Arabidopsis thaliana: one gene and its partners. The protein of the gene in region 3 interacts with the protein of the main gene of each other region in a pairwise test. Each region holds a gene or a part of one and is shown on either strand. Other genes may lie near its edges. The genes, in order: PIP1C, AAP5 and AT2G01175.

Region 1 (3,757 bases), on a different chromosome or scaffold from region 3:
AGTAAGAATGTTTTATCTCAACTTGGTTGGCTATCTATCGCAACAAATTAAGGTGGAGTGATGCCGTTGATGGACATATTATGGGATACTAGTTGTATCCATAAAGAGTGCGAAAAAGGCCCAATGTAAATGGGCTTAATACCCACTTGGTTAACGTGGCCCATAAAGAGTGCGCAAGAGGCCCAATGTAAATATGGGCTAAATACCACGTAAACTAGTTGAGTCGATGACCCGAGAAACCAAGCCGAAACAATATGGATCTTACTCAATTTGTACCGAACCAAACCAGAAGAAAATCAAATTAACAAATTCCTCTTGAAAATTTCTCGAGTCTAACGACAAAAGCAAAATTAAAATCGTACCAAATCAATCATAATATCAAACTCCATTTAACGATAAAACCAGATCATCCACAGCAAATAAGAAAAAGACAAGTCCATTAATTAAAATAAACACATGATCCAGATCTCTCAAATATTTTCAAGCTCAATTACAAACCAAGATGCAACAATGAAGTTTTATAAAGAAAGAAATCAAATCAGGATCTGGACTTGAATGGAATGGCTCTGATGACAAGTTGGTGGTAAAGAGCCGCAAGAGCTGCTCCAATGAATGGTCCGACCCAGAATATCCACTGCAAACCACAATCAAACCACAATCAAACCAAAGTGACAAAGACATATAGAAAGACAAATCAACCAAATGATGTAATGGGGTACTCACGTGGTCGTCCCAAGCGTGGTCCTTGTTGTAGATGATTGCAGCTCCAAGACTCCTAGCTGGGTTAATTCCTGTTCCGGTGATTGGAATCGTCGCCAAGTGAACCAAGAACACAGCGAATCCGATTGGGAGTGGTGCCAAAATCTGCAAAAAAAATAACCCTAAATTATGAATCTTTTTCTAAACACCCAAAACAATAAATTAAGAGGAATCAAAACAAAATTATACCGGAACGTGGGAGTCACGAGCGCTTCTCTTGGCGTCAGTGGCGGAGAAGACCGTGTAGACAAGGACGAAGGTTCCGATTATCTCAGCACCCAAACCAGAGCCCTTAGTGTAGCCGTGAGCGACTGTGTTGGCTCCTCCGCCGAGAGTTTGGTAAGGATTTGGCTGGAAGCCTTTGACAACTCCGGCGCCGCAGATGGCTCCGAGACATTGCATCACGATGTAAAAGACAGCTCTCGTCAATGACAGCTTACGAGCCAAGAACAGACCAAATGTCACCGCTGGGTTTATGTGCCCACCTGTGAAACACACACACACACACACTCATCAGAATCAACTCTAAATTAAGATCTCTTTGAGAAAAATCGAAAACTAAAAGCAGAGCTACAAGGGTTTGAAGCATGCAACAAAAGACCAATTCTACTTGTATTAAGAAGATAAAAAAAATGGGGTTACCAGAGATTCCAGCAGTACAGTAGACAAGGGCAAAGATCATGCCACCGAAAGCCCAAGCAATGCCTTGGATTCCAACAGAGGCACACATGTTTGGTGCTCTCTTCACTCCCATCACTGTCAATACTGTTATGTATAGAAACAGGAAGGTGGCTATGAACTCGGCGATTCCGGCTCTGTAGAAGGACCACGAACTCAGCTCGCCTGGCTCGAAAAATGGAGCTGGTGGTGGCTCCTTGTAGTCTTTGTCCGTCTGAGCCGATGTACCTATCGGTTGCCTCTCCGGGAACTTGTTAGCTCCCACTCGAACATCCTCTTCTTTCCCTTCCATCTCTATCTAGAAAACGTTCAAGTGTTCTTTGCTTTTTTTCTTCTTTTCTACAATGGGTAATGAGAGTGGCTGAGATAGAGAAAGAATGGTTTTATAGAGGCGAGAGAGAGAGAGAATAGAAAAAGCAAAAAAAACTAACGTCTCGAAACTATTATGATATATTTAAATAATGAGAAATACAGGGAATCATGGATAACGATGATCTTCGTAAAAGCATATTTATTTACGTTAATAATTGTAATAGCCTACTACTTGATGATGTTTAATCATGTAACACAACCCACGCTTATACTAATTCTGTTGCGTTGGCTAACTATTAGTATTATATTCTGAAACTCCTTATAAAGATAGCATGTTTGACCTAATTTATTCTCAAATGCCTTGCTACAGGAGTACTACTCAGTCAGCAGTTAGAAATGTAAAAAAAAATATTACAGTGCCAGAAAACTCACAAAGGACTAACTTTTTGACTAGTCGACGAATTAATAATTTACTTCCGACCGTTGGAGAAGAAAAGGAAAAGAAGTGTGTGGAAAGCGATTGCTTTATGTAAAGTAACATAGTCTCGAACATTGTGCCGGGCCTAGAGTATTTTTAAAATGTTTAATTAAATTACTATGTGTACTACTAGTGACAAAATAATCACAATGATTGTGAATTTGAGGTTTTTCAATTAAACGATATATATTTTAGAAAAAAAGAAAATGAAAATTGGAGATAAGGTTCAATTTTGCGGGGGTTTCCAGCTCAGAAATGGATTTTGCTTTTCTGTGATCACATGTTCGTTTCCCTATTCCCACTTTCCTTTTTCTATCAATCTATTCAAACCTAACAAAAATAAAATTCAAAACTCTGTTGTTGTTATCAATTCACATATTTTTAACGCTATATGAGCCATACTTTACTAGTTAAATGGAGTTTAGTGTTTAGGATTCAAACCCTATTAGTTTTGTTGATGTTGTCTTACCCGAACAATAATTGAATTTATAAACAGATTAACTCTATTGTAGATATCGATTTTTAAAAAACTGAAAAGGGAAACAAATAATCCGAAGCTAAACTATATGATTAAGAAACACCTTTTATTGAACTAGTGGTGGGGTTTGCCATTTTTCGAAACGCAACCCACACACACACATCACAGTCGTCTAGCTGCCCAACCAACAGAATCACGACACGTGGTTGAAGAGGCAAATATGTGTTGGTGGTGTTTACTGGGGCGGTCCCGACCAAAGTCCGTATATGACATCCTTTCTCAGTTGTACAAATCACATTTCATTATAATTCATTTCATCGAATTATCTATCTTTTAAATTTTATCAATATCTTTTTTTGTTAGAGGCGTGGACCGTATGAATGTATGATAGTATAGAAATAGAAATAATAACGTTGGCATTGTTATTTAACAAGCAAACAAATGATTAGGTTGATTGATGAACAAGCAATGACTAGGTTGATGAATTTTAATTGTTACTGACTTTGTCTGTGTACGTAGCTGGTACTTAGTTGGTACATGCCTATCAAAAGAAAAACTAATATTTTGCAACGAAGCAGATCCTTCATTGCTTACATACATGTGGAAAAAGATACGATCAATATTTTAAAAAATCGTGAATTGAATTTTGTTTTATACACACAGACGACAGACAAGCTTCTGACGTGGGCTCAAAACACTAAAACGGCCTCTGAATCAGTCAACACTTTGAGGCATGAGAGATTGATTAAACCACAGACCAAGTCTTTACGACAAATCAACTCGAGCCCAATAGGCTCTAATAAGGCCCAATACGATATAATCGTCTTCTTCCTGTAGAGTCGGGGACCTGGGATTAGTCAATAAATGAGTAGAATTTTTGTAAGGAAGAGAGTAGTTGGTGAGCGTCGCCATTGAAGGGGAAAGCAGCCCAACTTTGCATTGAATGACACTTAAAATCTTTCTCTCAGCAGCTGTCTTCATTTATGATCGATCCTACTTCTTTCTTCTCTCTACCAATTTCAAGATCTGGTCGTCGCTCACAGGAGAAACGT
Region 2 (3,757 bases), on a different chromosome or scaffold from region 3:
TATTGAGCCAAACATTAATGACTTGTATGGACAATATTGAATAGCAAAATAAAACACGCATCTAACTTTTTTTGGACAAATGTGAACAATTAAAATAAAAAGAGTTTTGTGAAAGCAAAGTTTTAACTTACACCAAACTTATAGCTGATGCAATTGTATATCCAATTGCTGTACCAAATAGATTAACATATTGCACAACTCCACATACTTTCACCTTAATCCCACCTAAAAATGAATCAAGAATGAATTAAGTTTTTGATGATAATAACTATTGGGATATGGAACCGATATGGAGAACCAGAGATCGACAGAGATCAACGGTTGAAATGACAAGGCCAAGATACGGCAAGAAAATATTATTCTAAAAGATAAATGTTAAACTTTCTAAACTTCAATATTAACATTTATCTTCTAGAATAATATCTTTTTGTTATATCTTGGCCTTGTCATCTCAACCGTCGATCTTCGGTTCAATATCCCAATATATGCACCAAAAAGAAACCGAAATGATTTTTTTTTTGTTTACCGAGGTTGGAGTGAATAGCGTCCATGTAAGTGTAGTTTCTTTTGCCGGTAACAGAGTCACCAGATCGGTAACAAGAACAGAGAAGGGTAGATGTGTAAAAAGTAACGAAAGAAAAGAGTAACATAGCCACTGGACCACCAATCCAACCAATCTGAGCAACGGCCCATGCCAATGACAACACTCCTGACCCAATTACTGCTGTTATTATGTGTGCACTTGCTGTCCACACCGTCCCTAAACACCAATCACATTCAAACAGAATTTTAAGACAAGAACTGTAGTAACAATAAAGTCTGTTTTGTTTAACCGTTAATTTTAAGACAACAACTGTAGTAACAATAGTGTTCATACACTTTAGTAACAAAAATCATACTTTTCCATAACATCCACACAAAAAAAGAAGTAGGAATTTGTCACCCCTTAACAAACAAAGCCTATGCATATATTTACTGTAGATGTTTTAAATTGCAAGTTCAACAGACTCCGGGTTTCGGTTTGTATCCCGAAACCCGGAATTAAAAAAATTCCGGGTTTCGGGTTCAAATCCCCGGTTATAGGAAACAGAGACTAATTTTATATTTACTTTGATTCTTGTTTGAACAGATTAGAGAAACATAAAACATAAAATTAGAGAAAAAAAGAGAAATTACCGGTTCGCTTGGGACGACCATCATCATCGAATGAATCCGAGCTATGTTTCGGAAGAACATCCAAATCTTGAACATTCTGAACGACCATCTTCTTCTTTTGGTCGACAATAAGACCAAAATTTACTAAGAAGAATCCAAACTTTACCGACAGGAAAAACGGTTGAAAAAGTTTTACTTGTTTTGTGTTTTCTCGTATAGATCTTGAATTTTTTTAAGACCAGAAGAAGAAGTGAAATCAACGATTATTCAGCGAGAAGAAGAATGATTTTGACCAAATAAAATCAACGGTGACAAGAGACCGATGTTTTCTATGGACCAGAGATTATATAATTGGAAGAGAGTGAAAGTATAGGAATTGACAAAGTAGAGATTAGAAATGCATGATAATATAAATACTGACCAAAGCTTTTGTTGTTTCACTAATTTATAAGCACCGTGGAAGACGGAGACATCCAACTTGTAAGAAGGAAGAAGCAGAGGAAACCGCATGTGCTTTTTTTTTTTTTTTTGTGAGGACTACAAAAATAGTTTATCTTTTTATGAGAAAATGGTTTCATTGTTATACATTAGTGACAACAAGTGCAAAATGTCAAATCTTATAAATTACATATAAGCTAAACAATCAAACTAAATTTTAAGATTTTTACCTTTAAAATATAGATATTTTAATTTTAAATTTTAGAAACAATGATTCATGTCCTTATAATTTAAGAGTATTTGAGTAAATCAAAGTAATTTAAGAAAATATATAATTAGAGATATAGTAGTTTTTATTATTATTGATTATTATGTTATATGTACTTTTGATGTCAAGAGAAAGTTGAAGGAAGATTTAACTTTTGAAATTCGTTATATCATTTGTAAATGAACGATTTGGTGGTATACTTATATTAATATTTTAGAATCATTTATCATAGGCATTACTCAAAAAAAACAAAATATATTTAACATGGGCATGTGTTCAACCATAATTATAAACAAATTGATAAAGTATATATTTTATTAATTTGTTATTTAAATAATTAACGTTTACCATGGACTTCTTTCGTCTATATCTAGTATATTTCTAAAAACTTTCGGTTGGTTTTGAGGAAATGAAAGTGGAAACTATGTATAGTGGTGTTTGCATGTTATGAGTTTGGTCACATTATATACTCTTTTTTGGTTGATAGGTTCTCACAAATTGAAGTTACAAAACAATGTTAAATATTCTCGATTATTTTCCATTTTATTTGTGGAGTTTTTGTATGAACATGCAAAATACACCTCGATTAGATGAAGTTTTTCAACATAACATTGCTAGAATTGCTAGGATTAATCTCAATTCTTAAAAATTCCATAAAAGCTAAACATCAAACCAAATTTTAAGATTTTTACCTTTAAAATATAGATATTTTAATTTTAAAATTTAAAAACAATGATTCATGTCCTTAATTTAATGAGTATTTGAGTAAATTAAAGTAATTATAATTAGAGATATAGTTGTTTTTTCATTATTATTGATTATTATGTTATATGTACTTTTGATGTCAAGAGAAAGTTGACGGAGGATTTAACTTTTCAAATTCCTTATATCATTTGTTTTTTTTTTGTCAACCGGAATTAATTAAACTCAAACGAACCAATTCCGAGGAATTAAAAATAAAGAGATGCTAATAAATTTTTCTTTCTCGCTCTTAAATTCTTTCAAATACACTGGAAACACCGACCATTCGGTTGGAAAATACACTGTCGTTATATCATTTCTAAAGAGTATAAATGAACGATTTGGTGGTATACTTTACTATTTTAGAATCATTTATCATAGGCAATTAGATATTATTTTGAAAAAGAAAATATATTTAAAATTTTGATGGGCAAGTTTTCAACCATAATTACAAACAAATTGATAAAGTAAATATTTTATTAATTTATTATTTAATAGTTATTTAAATAATTAACGTTTACCATGGACTTCTTTGTCTATATCTACTATGTTTCTAAAAACTTTCGGTTGGTTTGAGGAAATGAAAGTGGAAACTATGTAAAGTGGTGTTTGCCTGTTATGAGTTTGGTCATATTATATATACTCTATTTTCGTTGATAAATTCTCACAAATTGAAGTTACATAACAATGTTAAATATTCTCGATTATTTTCAATTTTATTTTTGGAGTTTTTGTATGAACATGCAAAATACACCTCAATTAGATGAAGTTTTTCAACATAACATTGATAGAATGGGTTTCACTTTTTTTAAATGCTTATTGCTGTGCAATGGTTTTCCGAAGTTTTCTGCATATATGAATTACCAAAAAATAGGAAATTTAATATAATCATTGGAACATCTAATCTATTATTTGAGTTGGAAAACATTTTGATTTTTCAGAACGATGTTGTTGGAAAACCAATAATTCATCTGAAAAGTATATTGATAGAAAAAGTTGACAAAAAAAAATATATATAGATGAAAAATAAATCAAAGTATCTGTTTTTCTTAATATATTTTTTAAAATTCATGCTTTGATATAGCTGTATTCAATGTGCAATTATATCTCGTGTTTGACACCAGATTTTGTGTCTGGAGTTAAAGCTGAGTTGCC
Region 3 (3,757 bases):
GGATTGATCGCCGCCCAATCCCATAGTCTTCCTGGCCTGAGAGTCCAAAGCTTTGGTTGTTGAGAGCTCTCTCTCTGATTCAGACAAGATATTTATTTTTCTGTTATATTACTTTTTACATACCCCTCCAAACTGTCTTTTTATTATTATTTATTCTTTAAACTAAATAAATATGTAATTCAAGTAATATAAAAAAACTAATAAGCAACCCCAATGGTTAAGATCCTTAAGGAATCCTTAAGAATTTTCTAATATAAATTTTGACAAATATAAAGCTAAGGACTAGCTTAGGGACTCTCAAAAATATTCATGTCCAATAGTAGGAATTCTTAAGAAAGACAAATTTGAAAAAATATTTTGGTATTTGAGTTTAGATTGCTTGAAAAGAAAGATAGAGAAGACAAACTATACAAAAAATTTGATACATTTTTGATAAACACATTTTGAATAACAAAGATTCATGACAATAAATATGACAAAGTATACAAGATTCATTTGAAAACATATCAAAGACAAAAACTATACAAAAAAACATCATCCTCTTCTTGAAGATACTCAGAACATGGCCTACTCTTTGATACACAAACCTGGTTAATTTGCCACTGATGAGGATGACTGTGTAGAATGTTCAAATCATAAAATAGACAACTTTGTGGTTATGTTACCACGATCCACAAAATCATGTTAGTCTCGAGACTAACAATCAAAGATTTGCTATCCAAAACAAACTAAAAAAGATTTGATGCAATATTGAGAGGAAAAACTGAACCTGGTTTCTCTGATTTGAATTCCATTTTATCAGACTCTCATCCGTGCAACAGAATTTATAACACATTAACTAACTCTTGTTAACCACTCGTAATGCTAAAACATTATATAACCACAATCTTTGAACTCTCCTTCTTCATAACATTAGAGAGACAGAGAAGATTAAAGACTTGACACAAAAGTGTTTCAGAAGAAAGAAACAAACAAACCGAAGCCAAAAATCCTCTAACATGAGACACACAAAACAAATCTAGTGATGTTGTTCAACATTACATAACACATCTAAAAATACACTAATTTCGTAGACCACAAACATAAATCATATATGCTCATTGATTAAGAACAATAAATCATTATCTGAAGCCTTATGCAGAAGCAAGATATTTACCTTCTTTGAAAAAGGGGACCAACAAACCAAACAGCAGATGGATGATCAACGACATAATGAACCAAGTTATCACCGGCTGGTCTAGCAAGGGCTGCACAAGTAGCCAAAGAACCAAGAAACCCAAGTGCCCATAAAGCTTGAAGAGTCCTCTTAACCTCCATAACATATATACGAATTAGAAACAGAGATAGCCCCAAACCACTAGCACCAACAAAGTAAAACAAATCATGGTTCTGCTTGATTAGTTCACTTAATCAATGATGACAATCAAACATTAGCATCATCATTGGTCTCTTGTGTTCCCATACATACAACATCCGCTATAATTTCAGAGACACATCCAATTCAGAAATATAACCTTTGTTCTGATTATGATACATCAATCATCAATCGGAAGAAATCGATTGAACCTTCTCAGGGAGAGACAGCGCACGACTCTATGAGTAATATACAAAAGAAACGATTGAGAAGATTTACCTGGCGACACTGAGAAGAGACGATGAGGGAGGTATGTGACTATACAAGCTTTCGACAACTGCCGATGGTTACATGCGCTGCTGCTCCGATTACCTACCATCACCACTTACGAAACTTGGATTGATTCAATCGAACAAAGACCAGTGAGATCAGAAGCTAAGACCATCCCCATTGGTTAGGTCCTTAACCATGATCCTTAACTTTTTTTTTTTTATTAAAATTTTGCTTTTTGTAAGTTAAGAAACTAATAAGAGTCTTTAACAAATTTCTACTCCAATGGTTAAGAAACAATGGGTCCTTGAGTAAACAAAAATCAAATTTTTGCAAAATAATGTCTTCCAATACAAGCATGAAATTCATAATAACAAAGAGAAGAGATGAAATTTGAATTGCTAGTATCATCATTTGCTCAATAAAACACAATATAACAATACGCTAGCATGACAAAAACACAGTTTTCAGTTCTGTTCCAATATTTTCAGAAACAGAGAACCATTTTAATATCTTGAGTGCACAAAAGAAACGGTTTCCAGTTGTGCTTCAATATTTTCAGAACTGATTTAATACCTGCAGCATAGTTGGCAGCGCATGTGCGTAAGCACAAGTGTCAAACTTTGTTCTACACTAAAATAATAGCTACCCAGAAATTAAAAGAAGAAGAAGAATGAGAGAAACGAAGGGAGAAATAGAGAGAAAGAGAGATTACGCATGTGGAGAGCTCGAGTAATTTAGTGTTGTGGATGATTGAACCAGCTATGGCTATGCTAACAATGGCTTTGCCATCTTCAACCATCAGATTATAAGAGAAAATGTTAACCCAAGAATGATTACGAATTAAGAAATAACTGATTTCAGTTTAGATCACAAACATGTAAATACCGTGTTCACTAGAGCCGTATTAGTCTATTGGACGAGATTATTCGAGCGACCCAAGCCTCTCGGACACCAGAAAAACGTCAATTTCATGAAGAGTGGATTTACAAAAATGTAATGGTACAAGTAGAGTTTTGAATACACATACAGTATGTAGCTACACCATTCACAATCTCACGACGACGGCCAAATCAAAATGAAAAACCAAATAATGAATCAAATAATAAGAGAGGAGGATCATCTGGGAGCGGTGGAAGTGCCAGATTCCATGTTTTCGAGAGATGTTGAATCCATCTGCAGAGACATAGCCCTCAAGGCATCTCCGTTTTGGGAGGAGGTCACAGGGACTCCTCGTTCTTGAGCTGCCTTGAAATAGGCGTAGGGACCCCATCCTTCTTCGTGGTAAGGGTTGGGGTAGAACTGACGGTAGCAGAAGGCGGCTACAAGGGTGCCAATGAGAGCTCCTGCGAAGACATCTTGCCAGTGGTGCCAGTAGTCATCCACACGAGATATCCCCACAAGACAAGCGGCAAGCAGAGGGAAGATCACGAGGCAGAGTTTCGCCACATGTCCTTCATTGTTGAAGGCCTTGATTTTGCCAGAGAGGTAAAGGGAAAGGAATGTAAGCCCCGCAAAGGACCAGGAAGTGTGTCCGCTCGGGAAGCTCTTGTGGCCTTCCTTGACCTCAGCTGCCTTGCCGTGGCATACCACACCTCCCAACGCATCATACAGCTCTTTGCCGTCGGGGAAGCAGCGCCAGTAGAAGTTAGGACGAGGGCGTCCGGTGGCTACCTTGATGGAGTCAGTGATGACACCAGTTATCAAGACGGCGAAGAGCAGCCCGAGGATGCTGTGGTGCAGATCGTACACACATGTCCTCTTCAGGTAGAAGCAGACGAACACTATGATGGGAAGAAGCACAGCGTACACAGGGACAGACCAGATAGGTACGGTGTTGTCCTTGAAAGGGTACTTGAGGTCAGTCATCATGTCTTTTCCCACGTAGCGGTAGAAAGGAGAGATGAGGTTCAAGCCTATCTCGATGGCAATCAAGATGACGAGTATGATCCAATCGTGCTTGTGTTTAGAAGCGACTCTTCCTCCATGGGACTTTATAGTGTGAACACTAAGATCTATCTCCTGCATCCTCCCTCTCTGCGCCTCCTGGTCCTGCCACCAAAAACACAAACAATCATCACAGTCAACTAAACCTTCTTCTAATTGGATCTAAACAAACAAAGAATGGCTCTC

What was found.
Region 1: the proteins of AT2G01175 (region 3) and PIP1C interact in a protein complementation assay, tested with the Arabidopsis thaliana proteins (one large-scale study listed by BioGRID).
Region 2: the proteins of AT2G01175 (region 3) and AAP5 interact in a protein complementation assay, tested with the Arabidopsis thaliana proteins (one large-scale study listed by BioGRID).

The regions. Positions count from the first base shown.
Region 1 is NC_003070.9:225,448-229,204, forward strand, and holds PIP1C (plasma membrane intrinsic protein 1C), read right to left. Parts: upstream 2,097-3,757; 5' UTR 1,730-2,096; coding exon 1,402-1,729; intron 1,245-1,401; coding exon 949-1,244; intron 865-948; coding exon 724-864; intron 635-723; coding exon 539-634; 3' UTR 218-538; downstream 1-217. UniProt on the Arabidopsis thaliana protein: Water channel required to facilitate the transport of water across cell membrane. Its function is impaired by Hg(2+).
Region 2 is NC_003070.9:16,765,960-16,769,716, forward strand, and holds the start of AAP5 (amino acid permease 5), read right to left. Parts: upstream 1,727-3,757; 5' UTR 1,265-1,726; coding exon 1,177-1,264; intron 761-1,176; coding exon 527-760; intron 480-526; exon of another isoform or gene 300-479; intron 226-299; coding exon 132-225; intron 1-131. UniProt on the Arabidopsis thaliana protein: Amino acid-proton symporter. Stereospecific transporter with a broad specificity for glutamate and both neutral and basic amino acids. Reduced affinities for asparagine and valine.
Region 3 is NC_003071.7:104,439-108,195, forward strand, and holds AT2G01175 (uncharacterized protein), read right to left. Parts: upstream 1,854-3,757; 5' UTR 1,634-1,853; intron 1,358-1,633; 5' UTR 1,323-1,357; coding exon 1,134-1,322; 3' UTR 446-1,133; downstream 1-445. Other genes in the region: BAT1 (bidirectional amino acid transporter 1), read right to left, coding at 1-24; PAP1 (phosphatidic acid phosphatase 1), read right to left, coding at 2,744-3,676.